Nothobranchius furzeri: one gene and its partners. The protein of the gene in region 5 interacts with the protein of the main gene of each other region in a biochemical or structural test. Links are inferred from orthologs where the notes say so. Each region holds a gene or a part of one and is shown on either strand. Other genes may lie near its edges.

Region 1 (5,142 bases), on a different chromosome or scaffold from region 5:
AGGTTTGGTGTGGGAAGCAAGCTGACCAAGAGAGTCTCTGACTTTGGGAACCAGCTTGTCTGGGGCACAGATGAGGATCTCAGTCTGATCTTCATTCAGCTGAAGAAAGCTCCCACCATCCAGGTCTAAGCAGGTGTGTAACAGCTGCAGCTTAATGATAAATGATAAATGACCCGCACTTGTATAGCACCTCTCAGAGTAAGGACTCCAAAACGCTTTATACTACAGTGTATCATTCATTCACACACACACATTAACACACTGGTGGTGATGAGCTACGATGTAGCCACAGCTGCCCTGGGGCGCACTGACCGAGGCGAGGCTGCCAAGCACAGGCGCCAACTGTCCCTCCGATCACCACCAGCAGGCAAGGTGGGTTAAGTGTCTTGCCCAAGGAGACAACAGCAGCATTCTCTGTCCGGAGCCGGGATCGAATCTGCAGCCTTCCGATTATGTTTATGTTTATGTATTTAGCAGACGCTTTTGTCCAAAGCGACATACAAGTGATAATCGGCATTTTGCCCTTGAGGCTAACAATAACAATAACAACAACAACATTAACATCAGTCATGGAGAGGAGGGAACAAGTAGTGGACAGTAGAGAGGGGGGACGGGTGCAGGCAAGGTGCTAGTTAAGAAGATGCTCTCTGAAGAGCAGGGTCTTCAGGAGTTTACTGGACAACCCGCTCTACCTGATGAGCTACTGCTGCACCAAGCTTAGACATCTCATGGGGCTTAAAGGAGATGTACAGTTGGATGTCATCTGTGTAAAGATGGTAGGAGATTCCTTTGAAGAAGCTCAGTATGTGCTGAAGAGGAAGCAGACAGAGGAGGAACAGTAGGGGCCCCAGCACAGAACCTTGTGGTACACCGTGTGTGGAGAAGGTGGTGGAGGACCTAAACTTGGAGATAGCCACAAAGAAGGAATAGACAAATATGAGGAGAACCACTCCAGAGCACATCCTGATAGACCAGTCTCTCAGCCTATTCAGTACCTGGTGATGGTCAACAGTGTCAAAGACTGGAGTCAGGCCCAGCAGGTCATGTCTATTTGCTTTAATTAAATCCAGGTGGTGACTTTTCTTTGAACAGGCAGTGTGTTACTCAGCATAAATTACAAACAAGTCACTTTAATAGCAAGATGTTAATTAAAAGACAAAACAAAATAGAAACACTAGTAATTTTAGAGAAACTACTTTTTGGTTGAGAAAGCTGCTCATATTTTCTCTGTATTAGACCAGTTTTTATGATCTTCCATGTGGTAATAAAACATATCAGCTGCTAATAACAACAATACAATCGCCTTGAACAAACAGTGACTACCTAACCCATCTTACCATGAAGATCCAAAGGTGAACACACCATTAACGTACAGGTGTTGGGCTTGATCACGCTGAAAACAGATTAAAACTCATTTCTTCTCAGCCTTTGTGCTTGCCGACATAGGCCAAAAAAATTGTTGATTTAAATATTTCAAAATGTCATATTATCTGTTTTAGTGATCCAATATAATTTATTTGCATGTGTGCTCACTTTGTTTGAATAAGGAAAGTAAGTGTGAACCTAGTGGGAAAACAAAACAAAACTACGAATTACTAATTATTTTACTAACCATAACACTTATCAACCTAACCCATATAAAACAGTGAACACCTGAACGACCAATCAGGTCTCATCGTGGGCCGGCTTTAGGCTTGCACGAGGAAATTCTAGTGATTGACGTACACGTAGCACGGCCCATTGGAGGAGCTCTGACCAATCCGATTAGTAAATAGGCGTTCTCCTGTCTGTTTTTCCCGCCCCTTCCAGAAAGGACATATTTATTAGCCAATAGAAAGCGAGCAAGGGCAGAGACTTCAAGCCGAATTTCAGTTACTGCGTACGGGCGTCCTTTACGCTAACAAGGCCCGCCTATTGGCCGGTCTACGGACTTCCCACAGACAGTTGTATGTTTCATAAAAATGCACTCTGATGCGGCAAGTAAGTGAGAACGTTTCTGCATCAAATTGCGACCTTTCTCGTTGTTGGTGCGCGTATCAGACAGAAAAAACGGACGCGTTGTGTTTCTACATCCGCCTTTGTCCCGTGTGTCTGTCAGGTTTCATGGGAACGCATGAATCCTGTCTTATTTGCTAGTCTCTTTGTATTTGCCAGTGCTGTCTGGGTCGACAACAAAGGAAGGATGGCTACAGTAATTATAGCTATTTTCAGTTGTAAACGTTTGCTGAGACACGATAAGTTTATTTCTGGTAATTATTTTCGGGTTGTGCTGCTGTTTTAGGTTAAATTCCACCGACGCTGCTTAAGTTCAGAGGATTTTCGATTGCAGTCGGTGCGTTGTGGCGTTCCTATTCCTCGTTACTCGTGGCGCACATAATATTTAAACTCAAACTTGTAATTCGGCGTGATTCGGCCAATTTTCGGGTCAGCTGCGGACTGTAAGAGAGAAGGAAAATTGTGACGCAGTTGTGTAAAACATCTTTCGTTGCTTGCTGCAACAGTGCTAGCAATTTTTTCATAGCCCACGTTAGCTTCTGTAAAACGTCACCACAGTGCTTTCCTGTCAGTGACCATGTCGCATTACATTTATTAATCAATGTAAAATGTATTCAGTCGGAAAAGGTACATGTTGGGGGGAGATGAGTCTGAAAGAAAGAGTTGTTTTGTAGAGACGTGGGTATTGTAGTTTATTAACCCAAGCAAAGCTTAGCTTCTAACGACCACTATAAAGGAAAAGAACTACAACATCCAGACGCCCGACTCTCTGGATACTTTGTAAACTCTGCAAGTTGCTCGTCTACTGCTATTTTTGGTATGCAGCTAGTGCTATCCGTTCGTTTATCTCTGCCGTTTCTCTGAGTTTTGCCTCTAGTGATAATTCTGTACTAAACAGCAACACACACCCGGCTTTTACTCACAAGGTAGCCGCCATAATCGAATATATTAGCGTTTTAGTCCTGTCCTTTCAGTAGCACAGGGAGTCAATCGTGAGGGTCTTTTTCTGCCATTTTAAAGCCCTAAACACATCATATGTGTGGGTTAAATGGTAATGTTGTGTTCATAGGCAACGTAGGATTCAAGTCTCCATTATTAGCGTTGTTGACGTCACCTCTTCATAACCTTACATGATTAGGTCGAGTATTAAGTTATAAATGAAGCCTTATTTGGATTTTTCTAAAATGTCATTTAAATGTTTTTGTGGATAGATTTTCAGCTGAATTCTCATTTGACTACACTGGCCAGCATCCACAAGATTCACCACACCTTACACAGGCTGGTAACTATCTAACAGAAGGCTGATTATTTGTGTGAAGTGAATGTTTCTTTTTTTATTCACATGCTTTTATTTGTTAGAATCTGGCTGAAGACGTTGGACAGGATAGCCACCCGTCAGGTAAAATCCTTACGTGTGTTTTCTGTTCTTCATGCAGTTTGCACGCTAGTTCTGCTGATACTGATCTGCTGTGAATTATTTTGACAGCTTGCTACTCAAGAGCCATGCCACCTAGGAAAAAGAGGAGACCTTCTGCTGGAGATGACATGTCAGCCAAGAAAAGTCGCCAAGAGAGGTGACAGGAGGGTTTTCAGGAAACTTGATTGTTGTGGCTTATTAAAATAAACATGGACACAAATATGCTTCTGTAGTTTTGCTGCTTAGCTCACGGCTGACATCGTCTCATTATCTACAGTGTTTTCAGAAAACATGAAACATCGCAAATCCGGGAGGAGGAGACGTTTTCTAGTAAAAGATGTTTGGAGTGGTTTTATGAATATGCAGGTGAGCAGTCATCACACATTTTGGTTTAGTCACTGATCTTTGTGTTTGTAGCTGAGTTAATGCTGTGTGATGCTGCTCGGCTCACCTAGGTTGTGACGATGTGGTGGGTCCAGAGGGCATAGAGAAGTTCTGTGAGGACATCGGAGTGGAGCCTGAAAACGTGAGCAGATTTTATTTAGACTTGTTCACTACTGGACAAGGTTTTGGTTTGGTTCCATTTGCATGATCTTAGTTTATTCTATTTCCTCCTTTGGCTGCCCATCACACTGTCTCAGTGACACTGAAACAGGAATTTTAGTCATAGCAACATACGGTCAGCATTTGCATACACATTAATGCTTTTACAATCTGAAATCTGTTGACATAACTCAACAAATTTGCATCCCTAAAACACAAATATACACAGATCTGATGTGCAGCGCAATCTGTTTTCACGTCCTAAAAGCAGGTAAAGAGAATCCGGTTAACTTGGCAACAGCTGCTGTTCTATGGTCCCCGACTCGTGGTTGTCTCATCATAGCTACCTCAGTGGGTTCTAGCAGGTCTCACGAAACCCACTGCAGGTATTCAACACACCCTAAAGGTCAAAAGTTGCTCCATTACACATCCCTGGCTACTTATGGCCATTCTAAAATATCACCACACCACTAGTGCTTGCTTACAGAGAGACTTTCAGGTCATCTGGCCCTCTTGATTACTGTGCCCGTCCCAGGAACCATGTCTGGTCAAACCTTTTTGCTGAACCCATTTTTTGCCTTTATTTTTTATTTTTGAAAGATGTATTACTTGTTGATTATGTTGTTTCTTCTTGGGGCCTTTAAAGGAATATTTTGACCATTTTGAATGTGTTTCTATATATAAATAACAGAGATGGGGAATTGAGGCATCAACAAGTCATCTCCATGCTATGTTTTTCTTCAACTCAGCAACTAAACCAGGGGATTTCAATCAGCACAGTAAATGAACCTAGTTCAGTTGCTGAGCAGAACTAAAACACGGCATGGAGATGACTTGTTGATACCACAGTTCTCATCTCTGATGAATAATTACAATCTTACCTGTAGTAGAGGCCTTCCTGAACCTGCTTATGGGGTTTAAGTCCCCTTAAGTCAACTTCAGGGTTCATTTCAAGATCCTGGTTCTGGTCTATAGGGCCTTACATGGACAAGCACCATCTTACATTGGTGATCTTCTCAGTCCCTACACCCCCAGCAGGTCCCTGAGGTCCAGTGACCAAAGCCTACTGGTTGTGCAGCACCAGGCTAAAGGTCAAAGGTGACAGATCATCTGCTGCTGTGGCCCCCAGACTCTGGACCTCTCTCCCCCTGAGCCTGAGATCAGTGGACTCAGTGGTCTCCTTTAAA
Region 2 (5,442 bases), on a different chromosome or scaffold from region 5:
CACTCTGGATGAGCTTAAGGCTGCTATCGAATCATCCTGGGCCTCCATAAAGCTTGGTTTATGCTTGACGCATTCACTTTCTGCGCGGTGATGCGGCTCGCGGCTGGAACGTGCTTCACAACTCGCAGTGTTTATGGTTTGTGCGGCTCGTCTCTGCGGTGAGACAATATTCTCCCATACTGAACGGGGCAGCATGGAGCTCTACAGCATGCATCCAACACTACACCATAGTAGAAGTAGAAATCACTGTTTACAACATGGCATTTCAGCATTTTTAACAGCGTCCTCGTCTTTTCCGACAGTGCGAGCTATTTCTCTCCAAGAATTATTAACAACATGTTGATCATGGTGATCTTTGAGAGCTGAATCATACAAATGTCTGTATTTACCAACCTCTGCCGTACTAGTTCTTGCCGGTCCGCCATGTTTTTCCGCGTCCGACCGTCCGCGTGGTTAGAAATTTTCCGAGGTGCGCGTTGCGGAAATTCTGGGCCGTGCGGAGGCGCGGTGGAGGGGCGTGGTTGTTAAAATGACGCAAAATGACGCAACTTTTCCGTGCGGACCTCGCGGACGCGTCAAGCATAAACCAACCTTAACAGGTGCCACGCCGCATTGAAGCAGTCATTTCTGCAAAAGGATTCCCGACCAAGTATTGAGTGCATAACTGAACATAATTATTTGAAGGTTGACTTTTTTGTATTAAAAACACTTTTCTTTTATTGGTCGGATGAAAAATGCTAATTTCTTTGAGATAGGAATTTTGGGTTTTCATGAGCTGTACGCCAAAATCATCAATATTAGAAACATTAAAAGGCTTGAACTACTTCAGTTGTGTGTAATGAATCTAATATATATATGAAAGTCTAATGTTTATCAGTACATCACAGAAAATAATGAACTTTATCACAATATGCTAATTTTTTGAGAAGGACCTATATATAATGAGCCAGAATTGTTACAGTCTCTTGTAACACACAGGGCTTGTCTTCAGCTCCTGCAGGGTGGGTGTTAAAGAGAGCAGAGTAAAAATCTGTGTTATGAGGGATATGAATGATGTACAGATCAATTTCATTCCATCCACCCACACAGCTTTGTAGGTGATGTCTCATCAGACTGTGTGCAGTCCGTGAATGTAGGTAGTTACTGTTTAAGCTAGTTGAACAAGCTAATTACTTGGGTCATATCCCTTGAAGCCATGTCAGCATTTTGTGTAATCCTTTGACTGATGTGATGATGGGAGCCAACAGAAAAGTGTTTCTACAGTTTACATTTAGGTTAGAGCTAAACCTGATGCCTCATGTCTTGTTGTTGCTGAGATTATTGTTGCAGCATGTGAAAATAATGAGGGAAGTGCTTTAGAAATATGTCGCTAATGAAGTCTGGGATCGTTTAAAACAAACCTGCTTTTTCATAAAGGGAGAGTTTCCAAAGCCCTGTTTGTTGCATGTTTTGATTGTTTAACTAACTTTTATCAGTAAAACTCTAAAAAATTGATACGTAACTTTGCACCCAGACACAACAAATCCTGTGATCATTTTTTTAAAATCAGAAAGACATTCCATTAACATTTTTCAGACTGAATGCTCAACAATGCTTCATATATTTTATATTCTCATAGATGTGGTTGTAATTCATGAGTAAAACCAGATCAATCACTTTTTGTTTTTACTTGCAAACATCAATTTGGTAGTTTGTTTAATCTGTAAATGCATCATTTTCTTTCCACTAACCTAATTACTAAAACAGACATGGTTACCACACACACACACACACACACACATGATGTGATGACTTCATGCATTATATCATAAAAGAGCAGCTGATGACAATTTCACTTACAGACACTCCGTCAGATGGCATTGTCTTTCAGTTCTGCTCCATCATTGTGACCTTGAGATCAGCAACGCTGCAAAGACACATTATATTGTCATCATAAGCAGAAAGCAATAGCTCTTCATTCCCAAATCTGCAGGGACTATTTTTGTCAATACAAAGAGAAAGTCAAAACTCTCCTCTTGCAAAATAATTATTGGACAGTTTTAAAATACCCTAAAATGACAGTTAGAAGTCATTGTGCAATATTTACACAGTGGGGTAATCTTTCTGTGTCTCCACTTGAAGGGTTTCTGTACAACTCTTTGCTTCCACAAAGAAAGAGTCTCACATGTTATAATGAAACATAATTCACAATGCTTAATGCAAAATACACAGCTTTGATTTTTAAACCCAAACTCAACTCTGTTCAGATCATTGATAAAGTCACTAGTCATACATTAATAAGAAGAGTCAGGCTTCAGGGGCAAATTGCCAGTACAGATCAATGTCCTGGACATGTAGAGGCACGTCTCCCACACTTCTAACTTGGCCAACTTCAAGTCTCTGACATCAGATGGATGTCTAAAGGCCCCCTTTTCCACAATAAACAGGCATCACCGTGTAACACATCCAGACGTCAATTTAACTGGATTAGCTGGTCTTAAAAACTGTCCGAGGCGAAGAGCAGCCCAGATATTAAATTGTAATATCTGCAGCTATGTTGTCACCGAGCACGAGCTGCTGGGTTTAAAAACACACATCTGATAACGATGATCTGAATAAGTTATGCTTGTTGGAGACAGACAAGCTCTTGATCAGGATCAAGGGAGCTTAACAGCACATGTACAGCACTTCCAAATGAAATGTAAACACTGATTCAGTTTCTGTTTAATAGTCCGCTTAAACTGCTTAAAGTAGTCGGGCAATACTCGCTAATCGGTTACTGATCAACGATCCATCCTCGTCACCGGGCCATTTAAACATCCACATCTAAAGTGCCTGGCCCTGACCACGTCGACATAGCTAAAAGTTAGCTAGCGGCTATGCTAAGTCTTCTCCGGCTGACACAACGAGATAAATATCCTCAAAAAGCTTACCTTTTTAGGAAAACGTAGGCCGCGTCATTTGAATGTACATCACTTCATAAATGTCACTGAAAACAAAGGTGGGCAAATAAGTTGGCCGAAATACCAGCAGTAACGAACTGAGGCAAACTCGTCGTCAGATTGTTAGCAAACTAGCAGGCAGCTGACCAAAAGAAAAAAAAAGAAAAAACTTCCATAATAAAGTCGCACTCTATTCTACCTTTAGGGAATGATAAAATGATTAGCAGTCAGAGTTTGTATCGGAATTCATTTTTGTTGGTTCGCAGTTTAAAACAAGTTAAAGAGCCACTCTCGGACTAAGGCTGCCTATTTCTTTGTGCTTCCCCCTTTTAGTCATTGAACTACATTATGGACATTTTCCTGCATCACTTCCTCTGTCTGTGCTAACAGCCAACAGCTGATCTCCATCTGAGCGGGGGTGTCACACCGAATTCTGTCACCATAATAGTTTGGGACTTGACCGGGGAAGTCGAAAAATGTTTTTGTTTTGTTTTCCAGAGTAAAACACTGGATATGGAAAAACAGGAAACAGTTTGTACAGATTTATTTATGCGCTCATTTGCATTTTTAAAATGTAAAGACATGTGGTACAAGTGTATAAAAAACACATCTGCAAGCAGTTTTTTTATTTAATTTTTTAATTGGAGGGTAATTTTATTTGCATTGAGTAGCTTGGTTTAGATTTCACACACCCACACCAGTGGCGGCTGCTGAAAATAATTCTTGGTGGGGCTATGTGAAATATTTCCCTTCTTAGTCCACAATTATTAAAATGCACAGTTGAAAAATGACTACAACTGCGAAACAATCATTAATTTCCCTCCTTTAAATAAGCAGTTTTACAGATTAGATAGATTTTCAAATTTACAGCTAAAAAGACTATAATATCAATAATACTCAAATAAATGCACACGCCAATCATGTGAGCCTTTAAAAGCAACCACAGTCAATAATTTCCATTTCTGTTTTTATTTCCATTTTCTTTTGACAAGCTTGAGTTTTCAGTCTCCTATGTCCTATTTATCTCTCACCTGCTCATACAAAGCATGCACACCTCAAAGCGCAGCACTCAGTGCCACCAGTAGGTTTAACAGGACATAGAAACTGAATTACATATCCTGCTTTAAAGGCACATTTGGCAGTTTTGCTTTCTTTAGCACCCCCTAGTATTCGTTTCGTAGAACCAAAAGCAAAACACATCTCTTTGCTGTGCATTTGTCTTTTTAACACTTGAATCTTAATTGCTGAAAATCTCCCCAGCCTTCCTTTGTGTCTACATGAGCGATTTATCACTAAATCAAACAAATCAGCTGTGTTCATGATCTAAAACACGAAGGAAACAGGCTGGAAGCAGGCTGCAGCACCAAGTATGTCAGCTCTATTTTTTCTAAGCCCAACAGAGTAGACCGGCTTTCAATTCAACTTTGTTTTTCACCTTGTTAGTCATTTTCATTCCCACTCCTATTGCGTAATATTGTTTTTGAACGATTAAAAGTGCAGAGGACAAGAACTTACATTGAAAAAAGTGTGGGGGACACCCCCCATCCCAAAAAACAAACAAACAAAATTATAATAACAAAAACTACGTCCATTGTGTGTCATCAATGGAAACCTTTTGCCTCATTCACTTGGTGGGTCAGTAAGCTTAGAGAGCCAATTGTAATTTGAGGATTGAACTGCCTGAATGTCTTTTTGTTTATCATTTTAATAATGTGACCAACTCTGTGCGGTGCATATGTATGTAGTGGAGGCATAGTTACATCATTGAACAGGACTGACCCACACAATGACAACAAAGGTCTTCTGATTAAGAGAGTTGTCATAATTATTTCATCCATCCATTTTCTGAGCGCGCTTGTCGACGCGGGGTCGCGGGATGGGGGTGGGGTGGGGGGGCTGGTGCCTATCTCCGGCGGTCAATGGGCAATCATGCGGAGTACACCCTGGACAGAGAGCCAGTCCATCACAGGGCAACACAGAGACACACAGGGCAAACAATCATGCACACACACACACACACACACACACACACACACACACACACACACACACACACACACTCACACTCACACCTAGGGACAATTTAGACAGACCAATCAACCTAACAGTCATGTTTTTGGACTGTGGGAGGAAGCTGGGGTACCCGGAGAGAACCCACGCATGCACAGGCTGGGAAGCGAACCCAGGACCTTCTTGCTGCAAGGCGACAGCTCTAACCACTGCGTCACTGCGCAGCCCCATAATTATTTCATTTCACTTTATTTATAGAGTGCCTTCCACAACCCAGATAGACGTCCAAGGTGCTGCACACTACAATAACTGAACATGCAGAAACAGTATAAGATAAACAATAAAAATAGGTGTTAATGCAACAACATTACAGACAGAATCAAATACTAAACAAGTGGAACAGTAGCACCAGACTACTACAGCTATTGTTTAAAGCCTTGATATAAAAAATGTGCCTTCAAAAGTGTCTTAAGAATCGGCAACGATGGCGAATGACAAACTGTCAAAGGAA
Region 3 (5,072 bases), on a different chromosome or scaffold from region 5:
CAATTTCATGTTTTAGTAAGAATGTTCATATGAGGAGCTGACTCAGCAGACTCCAGCAGACGGGACGGCCCTCCATTGCCACGAGTCTCTCATGACGTTGGGAAACAGTCCACCAATTTAAAAAATAAAAATAAAAAGACAAAAAGCTTTCAAAGAAGTTCTGGCATGCATGAGAACTTTGAACATACTGTCCATGAAAACTCCTCCATGTCCTGCCAATCAAAGACAGAAACTGTAAAATATGGGACACTTGCAGTCCTTTGTCCATCTTGAAGTCTGTAAAAGTTTCCACCACGAGGCGGACAACCAGTGAGACACCCCCAGTTACAATTAGAGAAATACAGCTATGCAAAACAGGTGAAGTGATGGTTTAAGAGTTTGCACCAGTTCAGTGATCATGAAACCCAACCAAAAATATTTCATACTAAAACCAGGACTGGATTTTGTGAGCAAAGTAAGCTTCAGTGTGATGAAAAGTTCTCGAAGTTGGAAAAAAAAATTGGTGGCTGTGCTGGTGCAAAAGTGACCACAGTCTGACCCTCTCGCAACGAGGCATCAGTTTTAACCTCTGAGGCTGAAGGAAAAAAGCTCTTGTACTGATTTAGAAGGAAGCTTCCAATCTCTCTTGGTTGCAAACCAAGAATATCTGGCAACCCAGGAAGAGTTAAAGGATGAGCATTCGTCAGCTAGGTTGGGTTTTCTGACAACAAGAATGTCACGACTCCTCATTGCCCGAGTCATCCTCGTCATAGCAACAGTCGCCGTCTCCCCCCTCCACGTCATCGTCTTCATAGTAATAGTCATAGAAGAGGTCAGAGCCTTCGTCTGGCGGCGGGGCGCGTGTACGAACGCAGTATTCAGCTAGCGTGGTGGGCACCTTCACGCCATCTCGCTCTGCTTCTGCCTTTGTGGCCAGCACCTGTTTCCTGAAGGGATTTGTTTTATGAAGACTGAATTACTTTTGTGTGGATGGTGTGGCTTTGAAAATCTTTTAGAAATATTTGAGGTTTGTCTTAAATAACATTACACTAATGTTTACCTGATGATCTCTACATATTCCCGGTCCTTGCCTTTGCTGTCTCTCCATTTCCGGTACATGACAGAGGCGTCCACGTTGGCAGGGGAGAAGGTGTTGGGTTCATTTAGCAGCGAGATCACGCTCAGCAAAATGGTCCTAGAAGCAAAAAACAAAGGCAACTTAGTATAGAACCATAAGAAAACGACTTTAGGTGAATTAAAAAGTTTTAAACACATAAAAAATATTTTAATGTCACAAGCCTAAATTACTTATTTCATCTACTATTTTATTAGAATAAACAATGAAGCACATATTACATTAGGAACTTAAAGCTAATTGATAAAACATGTATTAAAAAAACCTGTCAGACCCATGTGCTACCACCCTACCAGAATCAGAATCAGAATAGGTTTATTGCCATTTTCAGTGAACAAACAATTCACAAACTAGGAACTTGCTTCGGCACTAATGTGCTACATATAACATGAATAATAAGATTAAAAATAGAATAAAATAGAATAAAATATAATAATTAAAAAAACTAGAATAAAACTTTCAGCTAAAATGGCAGGTAATGGTAACATGGCCGATAACGTGACGTTGTGTCGAGTACAGAAGACCAGCATGGTTGTGTGTTTATAATCTATTCACAAGTCTAACGGCAGATGGAAAGAAGCTGTTCTTATGGCAGGAGGTTCTGGTCCGGATGGACCGTAACCTCCTGCCTGAGGGAAGCGGCTCAAAAAGTCTGTGACCCGGGTGCGAAGGGTCAGCTGTTATCCGGCCTGCACGCCCCCGAGTTCTGGAGACGTACAGGTCCTGGAGAGATGGAGGGCTGCAGCCAATCACCTTCTCAGCAGAGCGCACAATGCGCACTGACAAGCCTTTACATTACATTTATAAAACGTAGCATTGTGAGTAAGGTTTTAGTGAGTCGTTATGGGAAACAGAAAGAAGCTGCTTCTGTTTGTGGCCAAAGGAACAGCCTTTGTGACAGACTTCCTGATCTACAGATCTAATGTGTCTGCAGCAAAAATGCAAATGAGGAAATTAGGTTAGGTTAACGGTATACCACCTGCAACAACAAAAACATAAGAGCTGCACTGCATCAAGTGACCGAAACCACCAGAGCTTACATCTTTGTAACACTGCTGAAGTTGTGTGATTTCGACTACTACAGATCACAGGTTTAATATCACTTGTGAGTGTGACATCGTTGTGGTGGCTTTTACATAGATAGTTTCTTGTTGAATAGAAATCTGGCTCTCAGTTACAGAAAAAGATCAAAGATACATTTTTTTGTGCACAGATTGCATAATGTGAGCCTGACAAATAACCTCAGAAGGAAGTTTATAATAAATAAAGATGCATTTTCTCCCTCTTCTGCAGCAAAATGCTGTCAAACTCATGCGATACACTTATTGTGAGTCACAATGAATTAAGGTACTCAAAGTATGTTTTTCATAGAAATAAACCAACAAAATCTTAGTTTGCATAGTATGATATTATCCAAAGATCAATTTAATTTTGTTTGTAAATAAGAGGAAGATGCAGATCTAGCTTTACTGCTGGCTGCTGCAGCCGGTGAAGAAGATGCTGCTGATAATGAATGTCATAAGATAAGAGTCTGCGCTGGGTGAACCATTGAAGTGATTGCAAAGTGGACAAAGATGGAAGGAGACCAGAAAGGAGAAACGTATAGAGAGAATATGATTAGAAAGAGAAATGCTAACCGAACATTCTGGGTTGGATTCCATCTCTCTGATGGGAGCTCTCCGCTCTGCGGGTCATCCACTGGAGGGTGCAGTATAGAAATACACACATCTCCATTCTACAAGAGGGGAAACAAATACATTCCATCATCAGATGCATTCATTCAAATTAAATACACTGTTATGAGTACACACACGTCAATATTTAACCTCATAGATGTTGGGATGCCACATTTTGGTTAGGAAGCGGAAAGCAGGAGGGGAGTAAGGATAATCTGTAGGAAACTTGATCCTTGCCTAGGGGGGAAAATGGGGACATCTTGTTATTTTTTAAACTACGGTCATTTCTTATATGTCATCTGATTTTAATTACAACCTTACCTTGAAATATCCCCCTTCATAATGAGTGTTTGGTGGACCAAAAATGGCGACTTCCCAGTTGTATAAATCAGCCTCGTCCACCAGAGTGATTTTAAATCCCTCCACAGGCTCTTCCTGGAGGCTCTTCATTTCCAACATGAGAGCTTTCTGCGAACTAGCTACATGAGAAGGGTCGTGTTGCGCCATAATGATTTATGAAGCTTTCAGGATTATCTGGAGGCGACAGCTTTTGTTTACACGGCTAAGCTAGCCAAGCCAGCAAACAGCACAACTTCTCCTTTTTCGATGTTCGGAGGCAAAGAAAACAGGCCGACCGCGCGTAAAAGCAAAACAAAGACTGCGGTTGGTCTGTTCCCAAATTAAACGTTATTAATGTCAAAACTCAGTAATGTTATAAACGAGAAACACATTGTGTCTGAGAGGCTCAACAGCTTTGGCTGATTTACCTGGCAGAGCAGCAGCTGATATAAGCCTTAAATCTACTGTTAGCTAAGGAAAGCTAACAAGCTCCGTCTAATTGACCAGCTGGAGCGACGTAATTACCGCAAAAACACAAAATAACTACATAAAATGGCAATTTGAAAAGACAAACGCAAAAAGTCATGTGACACTACGCCAAACTATACCTCCAGTAACCATAATTGTTTAGCCCTCATAGAAAGCTGCGAAAGGAAATGTGTTGCTGAAAGAGTCCCCTGGTAAAAACAGGTAATGGCGCCCTGTTGTTGGCTGGGACTGGTAGTCTTTCATTCCGCGTTTGTTAGATTAAAAAAACGTGAAACCAAAATAACTGAAAACCCTGGTATAATATAATTCCTGTTCTTTTTATTTATGATGTTTTTATTTTTATTTTAAATGCCCAAAAAGAAAAATAAGTTTGTTTGTGCTTGCATTTTCCTGTTAAACTGTTTAAATACGGTAGCGGTTACTATGGACGAAATATCTATGACATCAATAATAGTATTTTATCACCGACATAACTAAATTGTAAGAAAAACAATCCTGCGTTCATTTGTGGCTAATTTGTAGTTTATTAAGTGGCTGTGACGTTTTAATCTGCGCCAGTGCTCAGGAAAGCCCATTTAGGCTAGCTTTTCTTTGCCTTACTAAATACATTTGGATTTTTTATAAAAGAAATCTGACACGTAATTTTTTCTGTCATAGCACACGTTAGAGTATGCGAACATTAAACATAGACATATGTTTTTATTAGTGCGATTGTAAACGTTATTATAATCAACAGTGTTTCGTCAATGCCTCCTATTTACGCGACAGACTGCATTTAGGGCCCCGAAAAGAAGAAAGTTCGTGATGGGTTCGAAAACACGGCGTAGGTCTCGTTCCAGGTCCATAAGTCGGGGCAGAGATCACCGAAACAAGTCCAGAGTAAACAGGTCGCGATCTCCAGATGAGAGGAGAGGTCGCAACAGGTCTCCGAGCCCGAAAAGGACCACACTGGGTCGAGGCAGATCCAGCAGCGAGGCTTCGAGCGATGGCTCTCGGGCCCGACCTCAACATAGGGGCCGATCAGGGTCCAGGAGTGAATCGGAGGGGGACAGATGTCGAAGAGCGCCGCGCCACAGCAGCAAATCAAAGGATCGTGCATCGAGGTAATTTTAACACAATATGTTACAGTACGATAAAAGGTTGTGTCTGTTAGTTAAGCTTCACTCGTCCAACTTGAGATTCACACATTAACTTGTTTTTGACTCACGCAGCGCAAAAAATGAAGAAAGTCGCCACAGTCAAAATATATTTTTGTTTGTGATCTATTATTCAGAATAGAGAGTCGCTTGAGATTGGCAGATTTTCATCATCTTTCCTCCAATAAGTCATATTTATAGGTGGTGGGTGGGTGTAACCCACAGGTGGTTATTGCGACAGGTGTTTTTAAACACTATATTTACAGTAAATGTCTGCATGTAACTGTTTAGAAGCAGGTTGAAACGAATTTTACTTTG
Region 4 (5,354 bases), about 13 Mb from region 5:
CCCGTGTTTTGTGTCCCAAAAACGTTAAACACATAATTTGCCCGACTCTTTTCCTCTACCTTTGGGTATGTTCTAAAGGCACCGAGGTTGACTTTCCCTGCGGAAATAGTCCGGGTTGGGTCGATCTGTGGAGAGAGAGATACAGTAGAGCAGGAAAACAGGGTCAGAGGTCACGAAAGCCTCCGGGGACCACTCAAACCTGACCACCGGAGCTGTCACAGCACAGAACACACACACTTAATTATGTGATGCCGCTGGCAGCCAAGAGCCGCTGCACCAAATGAAGTGTCCATGTTTGCATCAACACAACACAGAAAGCTACAACTCATACATCTTCTCAGTGACATAAACATTCATGTTTATTTGTTTGAAGAAACAAAAAAGTGGCGTTTCCTGCCTCACCACAACTGCAACAAAAGGTTCCTGAAACTGCTGGTTGAGCATCTGAGTGCTGACGTCTATGCCGGAGAGCCAGCATCCGTAGCCGGGGTGACTGTGGTACCAGCCAATGGCGTTCTCCAACCGACCAACCTACCAGATGAGACCGATGGTACAGATTTAATACGACACAAACATTTTTATAAAAGGACTGCTTCCCTACTAGTTAATATAATACTCCAAACTGTTTCAAACTGAAGATTATTTCTAGAGAAACAACAGATTTATCCTAAAAAACGGTTCAAAACGATGGAAAAAGGGAAAAATAAATCATTTATCACACCCTAGTGGAGTAGTAGAAACAGTTGATGCACACGTTTTGTTTTATTACTCCAGCATGAAATTCACCACGGCAAAAACACAGAGCAATTCAGCACCCAGCTCCAACTCCAACACAATGCATTTGTAATGTGCATCGTAGAGCTTCTGTACAATTGCACTCACACTCATAATTAACATTCTGCCAAATACAAATAGAAATAAGCAGTAATATTGTTTTAAATCTAATTGTTGACATTAGGGATGCACAACATATTGGCATCAATATCAGCCGATGTTAGTCATTTTTTAACATATCGTTATCGTCCGATAAATAAAACCAGGCCAATATTAACAACTGATATTTTTTCCATCTTGTTTCCACTTGTTTATCTGTTTCAGAGGGTGAGGGGGATGATGTGTGTTTGTTTAGTCATGTGACAGTGGTTGTAATCATCTCAGAAGCATAAATGTGTGTGTTGTGTGTACATAATAACATAAATTCAGCTTTAATAATTTTCAGACTATACAAATTCTGCTGATTTCAGAAGCATTAATTTCAGTATATCGGTATCGACGTTTGGTTATCGGCCATAACAGTGATATTATTATTATCGGTATCGGCCCAAAAATTTCATATCGGTCCATTGCTAATTAAACAAAGGAGCCAACTTGTTTATTAGAAAAACATTTTTAATTTACACACGCCTGTTGCCTTCGATAGATTCCTGGGAATTAGTCGAGTTATGATAAAAATGTCATTATAAATAATTAATTGTTGTTATTCTTTTTAAATAAAAAAGAATAAAGGTTAAAGAGCAAGTCACCCCCAAATCAATTATTTTTTCCTGATAAACTATATAAATGCTTGTCTAATCGTGTTGTAGACACGTGTAGTCAATAGTTTTGCACTTTAGTGCATTTTAGTAAAAATTTAAATTTTCTGCCTGAAACTGTCAGTGTTGTGCCGTTGTCAGGTAAAAACTCTGCACTGCATTTGAATTTAAATCTGCCACCGCTATTGGCTAAGAGGTATGCTATGATGTAAACTGGTACATTATGATGTCACAATGTCATGAGTGTGTGTATTTGTTAGTGGCTCCACCCTCTCGGTCTGCTAGGCAACAGCATTTGTTGCATTTTTCAAACATGAAGTGGGAGTGAAGTACGCTTCTTGTAAGGGGTGACTTGCTCTTTAAATGTCACTAACAACTTCCTGTAAATTTATTTCTAGTCAGATAAAAGAAAGCGACCACCCTAAATAACAATGGCACATGGTTATTATGAATGTGTGTGTGTGTGTGTCTGTGTGTGTGTGGTAGATGCTTTAAAACGCCCCAAAGGAACATTCTGAAAGTTACCTGCTTGAGTTTTTATGTTACCTGTTTTATAAAACTACTGAATTCCAAATACATTTTTGGCCATGCTTGCCAATGCAGTTCTTCATCGATTTTTATCGATTTGTTGTTGCAGCCCTAGTTACAGTCAAATTTTGTTGTCATCTTATTCATCAAGTAATGCGTCAATCAATGTTAGTCATAATTTAGTCTTTATAGAAGTAATACATTTTAGTTTTTGTTCACAAAAATTAATTTGTCACAAAAATAACAACCCTAAAACTATTTTGTCAACGAAACTAACAGATTTTAGGTGAAGGAGCATTCAATGGCAACAGGATAAACTCCACTAATGGGGTGTGCTGCCCCAAAATTTTCACTGGCCCCCCATTAAAACCTTTCTGAGAGCACCACTGCATGTGTGTTCTTTGCTTATTCTCGTCTGATTGCATGTGGATCCATAAAGACAGCTACAGGTAAATCTAACATTGTATCGTTAAAACACAATTAAAAATATTCTAAAATGTCTATACCCATGTAAAATGAAGTGTATCGCCACAGGAAGCAACATGCAGGCTTTGATTTTACCTGTTTGGCATTTTCTATGTAGGCAGCCATGTATTCATAAGCTGCAGCCTGCGCGTTGACTCTGGTCTCTGTCCCCTCCACTGGCAGAGCAAAGCTGTCCATGATGATCATGGTTTCTCCATCCACCTTTCCCAGCATGAGACCCATCACCTCCAGGTTTCCACCAGACCTGGCGTGCATCACCATCTTTAACAGGGCCAGAGCTGAGATCTTGCAGTATTTGAAGTAGTGGTGACTGAGGGAGTTAGAAGAAGCACAGTTAATAAACAAACAAGAGGCATAACTAAAAAACGAACTATTGCTTTAAGTACACCTAAATATCACAACAGAAGACTAAGTGTTTGAAAATTCATCATTCGTTTCCGTATTTAACCCACTCCTTTGTCCATGGCTTCGCAGCGAGGATTTCTTGTTGTTGCTTTTTGTCATATTTGTAAATTTCATCGATGCTCTGGACTTCCTGCATTCTGTTAGACAGCTCCCATGTTTTCTGAGCCGTGCTGTTGCCGGTCATCATGATTTAATCGGGCTAAAATAATTATAATAATAAAAAACAGTATTTAAGCCCTTAAATTCCCAGTCAAATGAACGAAGAAAAGCGATATTTCAGCGTAGATGATTTAGGCCCCAACAACCGCTCGCTCAGGAAGCCATGACAGTGAACAATACCAATTCCCAGGTTTGACGTTTCCTTTGGTTGCAATATTTAAACTGAATCCTTTCTTGAACATTTTAAAACATTGTACATAATTTCAAGATTGATACTGTATCATGTGTGGAAATTAAATATGTAACAAAGCGGATTTTAGGTATTTAGTTACAGTTTGTGTAAGTGTAAACACCCCTCTGAGAGATGGTTTCACCCACAGAGAGTTAGGTCTATTGTTGAGTCACTTAATGACGCACTGACATCTAGCGGCGGATTTTGTATGTGCAGGTTTGTTTCTGACACCCTTTTTTTCTTCACGCTTCTTTAGAAACTGCGTCAGTTCATTAATTAAAATAACCCGAACTACTGTTAAATATTTCAGGAAATGTATTAAATATAAACCAGCTCCTAAAAATATTTACTATTAGCTTAGCTGTGAGTAAACTTGCGGTTTAAATAAAACGTGTTCACGGGTGTAAAAAAGTAAAATAATAAATTCTAAATTAATTTCAGACTATATGCGTGACACATTTGTTTACAATTTTGTATTAGCAGCGTTAGTTAGCCTCCTGGGGTTATCTTTTGTGTCATGGTTGCCCCTAGCAACGCACTTTGTGCAGTGCTTCCGGATGAGCGTTTGTTTGGGTTTTAGATGCGGATAAAACATATTAGCGTCTTTCCTTCCATGGTTGCAAGTTTAGAATAATTTGGACCTTCTATACTTCTGATATACTTATGTAGGTCAATGGTAAGATGGGAAGATCTTAAAGGAGCAAAACACAGAAAAGTCACCTTAAAATGCCACGCAGCAGCTGGGTGAGTAAACATCTATACTTTCAAATCACCTCAGGTAATGAACAAATCAGTAATTTTGCTGTGTGGATTTCTTTTCCAACCAAGGAATAATGATGTTCAGTAAATGAGACTTTAGTATGAGTCCAGCATCAACAGCGCCTGCATCGCACCCAGACAGAGGTAACGCAGAGCATTTTTTGGGGGGTGGGGTTTTAGTGTTTTAAAGTATTTTATTTGTCAGGTTTGGACATGAGTTTGCGGCTGGGAAGTGATTATGAAAAAAACAAGCAGAAACATCTACAGGAGCTGCAACTGGACAACAAAGATTGTGTTGCTAAGGTCTGGTGATGTACTCAAAAATGTAAAGAAATCTTAAAACAGCTTTAGAGTCACCATCTTTTTTTTTTTTTACCATTTCATCATCCGCACTGTTCTTCTTCTAGATATATAATTTCAGAAATTGTGAGCCCCAGGTGCTGGAGCACCAGGGTCTTTCCTTACCCATCAACGAGAGAGCATCAATAAAGGTGTGTGTGCATGTTTTGTGTGCACATGCACATTTTAAAAATTTAGTTACATGTGTGACTCTCTCACAGGGCAGACTACGAGAAGAGAGGAAAAAAGAATACAACATCTTCCTCCAGGAGCAAGCTCAGAAGAGAAGGTCCAAGAGAGGAACACCTCCGATCTCCTCAAAGGCGAAAAACATGTTTTCAGCCTTTCTGCCACAAAATGTGTTAAAAACTTCTTCAAACTGATTATTTTCCCTAAATTATCCCTAACCAGGCTTCGCAAGGCTCTCCTTCGCCCTTCCTCAGTACTCAAACAAACTCACCTCCTCCACCTCTTCACAAGGAGCAATCTGCATCCTGTAGAGATGCTGCCACTCTGACTGAAGGAGGATGTTGTAGAAGACAAAGGAGATGGCAACTCCGTAAGTCAGAAAAGCTTAATGAGGAAACAAGCTCAGAAGAAGATGAGGAGGACTTTGATTTCAGATATAGGAGGAGGCATGATAAGGAGCACAAGAAGAAGAAGAAGAAAACAAGGAAACCCAGAATGAACAGGTCTTTCTAGGATCATTTAAAACTCCAGAAAGTGGTGCCGGTTGGTTTATTTTCATCTCTGAGCTCTTTTGTTTTCTCAGCTTTAAATGCAGAGCTGTGCAGGACTTGGAGGAGATAAAGACCTCAGCACCACATGATCCAAGCAACACCGATGGGATCTTAAAGTCGCAGTAAGAAGAATGAATCTCTTAAGTTCAATTTGCACCATGAACATGAAATAAT
Region 5 (4,389 bases):
TTTTGAAAACAAAACTTTTGTACCTGTTTTGGCACATTTGTCTAAATAAATATTCTAAAGCAATGACTCGTTTGAACATTAATTGGGGGTGCACAGATTGCAGTTTTTGGCCGATCACCGATCTTGACAAAAGCCGAGATCAGGGCCGATAGATCGGTGCACCCCTAATGTTTAAGGTTCTAGACCCAAAGATGCAATGATCACACACACTGAATTTGCTCAAGAACAAACTGGACCTTCTCCAGAACCAGATGGCATATCTGGTATCATCTGCAGCAGAAGTTTGCATCTCTGTCCTTACCTGTTTGGTCAGATGTCCAGTGGGAGGCCAAGACCATAACAGCAATAAACACAAACATGCAGACAGAATAACAGGTGAGAAAAGGCAGCTGACCACATGATTTTAACACTCAACCTTCTGATCTCGAGTCAGACGTGCCGCCGTAGTTCCATAAGACCATGCAAAATATAATTTAGATGACTAATAACAGGGACCGTTTGTGCGCATGCATCTTTAACCAGCAATAAGAGACATTTACTATTTGGTGATACTTCTCTGGTAATACGATAAAGGTCTTGCGAGAGCTGACGTCAGTAAAAAGGTATCTAATCAGCACCGTGGACAGCCGTCAACACAACACACATGGGAGCCACCTTCTATATTTGAACGTGCCTTGTGTTATAATATATCCATCGATAAATTCTTCATAGAAACTAATTAATTCAAAAGCTACAATATAAAGTAACAGATGTAATTTGGTGTCTAGTCTTGGTCCTTCAGGGCCACCGTCCTGCAGATATAATTAGTGAGTATTAATAATAATAATGAATAATGCATTGAACTTATATAGCGCTTTTCTAGACACTCAAAGATGCTTTCACACACTCTCACATTCACACACTGCTAGTGATGGAAAGCTACTTGTAGTACTACTTGTGCCATGGGGAGGTCTGACAGAGGCGAGGCTGCCATTTGGCGCCGTCGGCCCCTCTGACCACCACTAACACAGGCAAGTTGGATGAAGTGTCTTGCCCAGGGACACAACAGCAGGATACCCCTAGCGGGAGCTGGAATCGAACCCATGACCCTCCGATCATGAGGCAACCCGCTCTACCACCTGAGCTACTGCTGCCCTATTAGGCAGTATTTGAGCAGTTGAACAGGCGATTTATACATTCAGGTGTGTGGAGCAGGGAAAACACTAAAACATACTGGATACAGACCCTTTGGGACTATTATTAGACATCCCTGCTCTAAATGAACATGATGATGGCGTCACAAGCTAAAAGCTAAAGACTCCATCCTTATATAGACACATGACGAATACCTAAATAAAAGCCTTCAGTGTTTTTGATTTATTTGACAAGCAGCAAGATCATGTTTGTCACTCTTTCTTTACATTTTAAAGTAGATAACAATAGTCAATATAGCAGTTTTGTTACAATATTGTTCCTAATTCAGTACATTTAACAAAGAAAGTAACACACAACTGCAAACGTGAGAAAAGAAAGCATGTTTGTTTATTGTGTAGCCACCAACGAGTCATTGATGCCACAAGTAGTCCTGTCCCCATCCTGTGTCCCTGCCGGCAGATCGGCAGATCCGTCCTCTCCAGCTGCTTTAGGCATTTTCTTTAGACGCACAGGTGCGTGGCACTGGTGATGTTGTAAACAGTTTAAAATCAGAAAGTGGGAGGGGCTTGAAGAAGGGCCTTATGGGTGGAGGTGTCCGACGTGAAACCATGACATTAATCTTATCTGAGATGGAGGCACGAGTCCTGCTTTAGTCACCACAGAGAAACACAGCAGACAGTGACCGTCCTGAACCTAAATGGATAATTGGGATCGTGTGTTTGATCGTGGTTTTTGTCCTCAGTCAGTCTCATGAGTCTCTGTATGGAGCCTCCCCCCCCCTTACGCCACGTAGCTGTACTCGTCAGCGGAGGTCTGGCTTCGCTCGATGTACTGCTTGTCGATGAGCACCTCGATACACTTCTTAATCATGCTGATACTGGGGTTGAACCTGGCTTTGGACTGATTAATGACCTGTAAACACACGTTAATGCACAAACATGAATCTAATGCAGTTATTTCTTTCTATTATTTATTTAGGGAAACGACTAAAAACACTGATTTATGGTTTTGTCTACAGGAACAGCATCAGTTTCCAGGTAGGTTATAAAGAAGGGAGATAAGCGTGAGAATCGTCCCTTCCATCTTGTGTATGCGTTGTAGCCGTCAGCTGACAGGAGCTTTCACTGCTCATGTCCTCCAACATGATCAAACATCTCCCTCTAACATAACAGTTACCTCACCTCTACAGAATTTAAACTCAACTTTACAGGACCCATTCATTCCAACCCTCCATGAGCCGTGTTTTCCTCCACTACCTCATCTGTCAGGAGTTTCCACTCACCTCCTGGATGAGGGCGTTGTGTCGGAGCACCTTGCGGGCCTTCATTATTCTGACTATAGCAGCTTGTAAATACATTTTGCGGTCCTCGTCTACAGCGCTCCTCGTCTGCTCCATCTCCTGAACATCACAGACACGGGTTTGTTATTGTTGAGCCTGCTAAGGCCTTAAGTTAACAGACTGGTATAAACCAAACTGAAACAGATCACCCATCATCTGACCTGGGGGGTGTCTTTCTGCATGGAGGTGGTAATCTTGAACTTTGTCCTTTTACTGCTAAAACTCATGTTTAGTGAAAACGTGGACTCGGTTTCAATCTCCTCCTGTAGACAAAGAAAACAACGGTGAGCAGAGAGCAGGTCCTGCTGAGGATTTGATGCTGCATTCACTGACTCAGCACCTTTTGAGAGTCGTGGTTGAGAATCTTGACGTCCAGCAGGGACTTGATGGTCTTCTGAAGCTCCTTTTCGTTCATCTGGGTGCCATCCTGAAGCTCCTTGTACGTTACCGTCTCACTGTTGTTGAAGGCCAGCAGCACGGCCATCTGATAAGTTGTCACCATGGCGACGTAAGGCTTGGACAGGTAGTTCATCTTAACCTCACCTGTGAAGAGAAAAAACGTGTAAGATCAGCACTGAAAATACCAAGCTGAGGTGTGGACACGACTAGTTTGTGTGTGAGCTTAAAATGAATCAAAGAAAAAAAAGAGTGACTTCATTACAAGAAGTCTCAAGGCAAAAATCTGAATATTGTGTTTAATCCAAACTCGTGTGCTTAGCTGCCATGTCTCACTGCTGTCACATCTTCAATGAAGGTGTCTTGGATTTGCTGAACCTGAGATGGGTGGAGGAGCAGCAGACAAGATCTTTACTCAGCTGAGCTGAAAGCCAAAGCTCCCAGTTTATTGGTCTATCTTGGACATGAGATTTAAAGTAATGCTAAATAGTTTTAAAATGTTAAACTAGAGCTTTAACATTGATCTCAGTGATCGTCGGGTTAGAAAGTTGACCAGTTTCATATTTGACGCCAATGTGCAGCTCTCTGCTGGCCGGATACTGCACTTGACAGTTTTGTGGAGGGGTAGGTGTTCTAGGGGGTGCTCTTATACCTGCATTACGGCTGTTAGCAACTTTTTGTGCAGTTGGCTTTTTCAGTTTGTTGATCATCAATAAAAAGCACAAGAAAAATAAGAAGTTTGCTTTTCTGTTGGCATTGTGGCAGAGCGAGGAAGTAAAAGTAATAAAGTAATGCTAACAACCGTAATGCATGTGTAAGAGCACCCCCTAGAACACCTACTGGCTCGATAAAAATGTTAAGAGTGGTATCTGGCCAGCAGAGGGCTGCAGAGTGTTTCAAATACTAAACTGGTCAAGTTTTTTAACCCAACTATCACCGAGATCAATGTTAAAGCTCTAGTTTAAAGTTTAAGAAACTATTTAGTGTTACTATAAATCCTGACTGAAAGAACACCATACTGGCTACCAGGAGCTAAAGAGTAGGGTTGGGCATCGTTTGATTTTGAACGATTCCGATTCCAATTCCAATTCCTCATTTCGATTCCGGTTCCTATCGATTCCCAATTCCGATTCTTTCAAGACATGACATGCTTTACACGAGCCAGCTAATCACAGGTCCTACTGGATGAAATAATCTTAACTTCAACATGAATTTTAATTCTATGAACAACAACATCACCTTCATTTAGACAAAAACATGTTTTGGAGAAAAAAAGAAAAAGACTTGCAGCACAACCAGTGTGTTTGTTTCTGACCACAACCAAAGTCTGGAAGCAGCCTCTGGGATGAGAGGCTAAATGTCTCCAACATATCCAGAAACGTGCAGCTGTTTTCAGCTAAAACTCTCAGGATGATCATGTTCAGGATGACTGAGAACTACACCTCCATGCTGCAGCAGTCAGAACAGGAAGTGAAACTTAAATGTAGCTGCTGTCAGTAACAATTTAACAGATTTTAAAC

Evidence for each region. The genes of interacting proteins can lie anywhere in the genome.
Region 1: of the proteins of cul2 (region 5) and dcun1d4, one has a biochemical effect on the other in vitro, tested with the Homo sapiens proteins (2 studies listed by BioGRID, with this or other methods). The link is inferred for Nothobranchius furzeri from reciprocal best matches to the Homo sapiens genes CUL2 and DCUN1D4.
Region 2: of the proteins of cul2 (region 5) and dcun1d3, one has a biochemical effect on the other in vitro, tested with the Homo sapiens proteins (2 studies listed by BioGRID, with this or other methods). The link is inferred for Nothobranchius furzeri from reciprocal best matches to the Homo sapiens genes CUL2 and DCUN1D3.
Region 3: the proteins of cul2 (region 5) and cdc34b form a complex in vitro, tested with the Homo sapiens proteins (2 studies listed by BioGRID). The link is inferred for Nothobranchius furzeri from reciprocal best matches to the Homo sapiens genes CUL2 and CDC34.
Region 4: of the proteins of cul2 (region 5) and cops5, one has a biochemical effect on the other in vitro, tested with the Homo sapiens proteins (3 studies listed by BioGRID). The link is inferred for Nothobranchius furzeri from reciprocal best matches to the Homo sapiens genes CUL2 and COPS5.

The regions. Positions count from the first base shown.
Region 1 is NC_091748.1:39,453,991-39,459,132, forward strand, and holds the start of dcun1d4 (DCN1-like protein 4), read left to right. Parts: upstream 1-1,845; 5' UTR 1,846-1,961; coding exon 1,962-1,980; intron 1,981-2,902; exon of another isoform or gene 2,903-2,921; intron 2,922-3,206; coding exon 3,207-3,277; intron 3,278-3,354; coding exon 3,355-3,394; intron 3,395-3,481; coding exon 3,482-3,569; intron 3,570-3,689; coding exon 3,690-3,778; intron 3,779-3,867; coding exon 3,868-3,938; intron 3,939-5,142. UniProt on the Homo sapiens protein: Contributes to the neddylation of all cullins by transferring NEDD8 from N-terminally acetylated NEDD8-conjugating E2s enzyme to different cullin C-terminal domain-RBX complexes which are necessary for the activation of cullin-RING E3 ubiquitin ligases (CRLs).
Region 2 is NC_091756.1:31,620,505-31,625,946, reverse strand, and holds the start of dcun1d3 (DCN1-like protein 3), read right to left. Parts: upstream 3,298-5,442; 5' UTR 2,913-3,297; intron 1,907-2,912; 5' UTR 1,840-1,906; intron 1-1,839. UniProt on the Homo sapiens protein: Contributes to the neddylation of all cullins by transferring NEDD8 from N-terminally acetylated NEDD8-conjugating E2s enzyme to different cullin C-terminal domain-RBX complexes and may play a role in the cell cycle progression by regulating the SCF ubiquitin E3 ligase complex, after UV damage.
Region 3 is NC_091751.1:57,908,062-57,913,133, reverse strand, and holds the start of cdc34b (cell division cycle 34 homolog (S. cerevisiae) b), read right to left. Parts: upstream 3,298-5,072; coding exon 3,112-3,297; intron 3,028-3,111; coding exon 2,941-3,027; intron 2,850-2,940; coding exon 2,752-2,849; intron 1,175-2,751; coding exon 1,040-1,174; intron 927-1,039; coding exon 716-926; 3' UTR 1-715. Other genes in the region: splicing factor Cactin, read left to right, coding at 4,423-4,721. UniProt on the Homo sapiens protein: E2 ubiquitin-conjugating enzyme that accepts ubiquitin from an E1 ubiquitin-activating protein, and catalyzes its covalent attachment to other proteins by an E3 ubiquitin-protein ligase complex. In vitro catalyzes 'Lys-48'-linked polyubiquitination.
Region 4 is NC_091747.1:51,741,681-51,747,034, forward strand, and holds the start of cops5 (COP9 signalosome complex subunit 5), read right to left. Parts: upstream 3,298-5,354; 5' UTR 3,139-3,297; coding exon 2,999-3,138; intron 2,857-2,998; coding exon 2,622-2,856; intron 532-2,621; coding exon 403-531; intron 126-402; coding exon 60-125; intron 1-59. Other genes in the region: centrosome and spindle pole-associated protein 1, read left to right, coding at 4,203-4,245, 4,307-4,404, 4,509-4,592, 4,662-4,763, 4,852-5,132, 5,213-5,302. UniProt on the Homo sapiens protein: Probable protease subunit of the COP9 signalosome complex (CSN), a complex involved in various cellular and developmental processes.
Region 5 is NC_091747.1:38,626,455-38,630,843, forward strand, and holds the end of cul2 (cullin-2), read right to left. Parts: intron 3,017-4,389; coding exon 2,814-3,016; intron 2,737-2,813; coding exon 2,635-2,736; intron 2,534-2,634; coding exon 2,417-2,533; intron 2,047-2,416; coding exon 1,915-2,046; 3' UTR 1,334-1,914; downstream 1-1,333.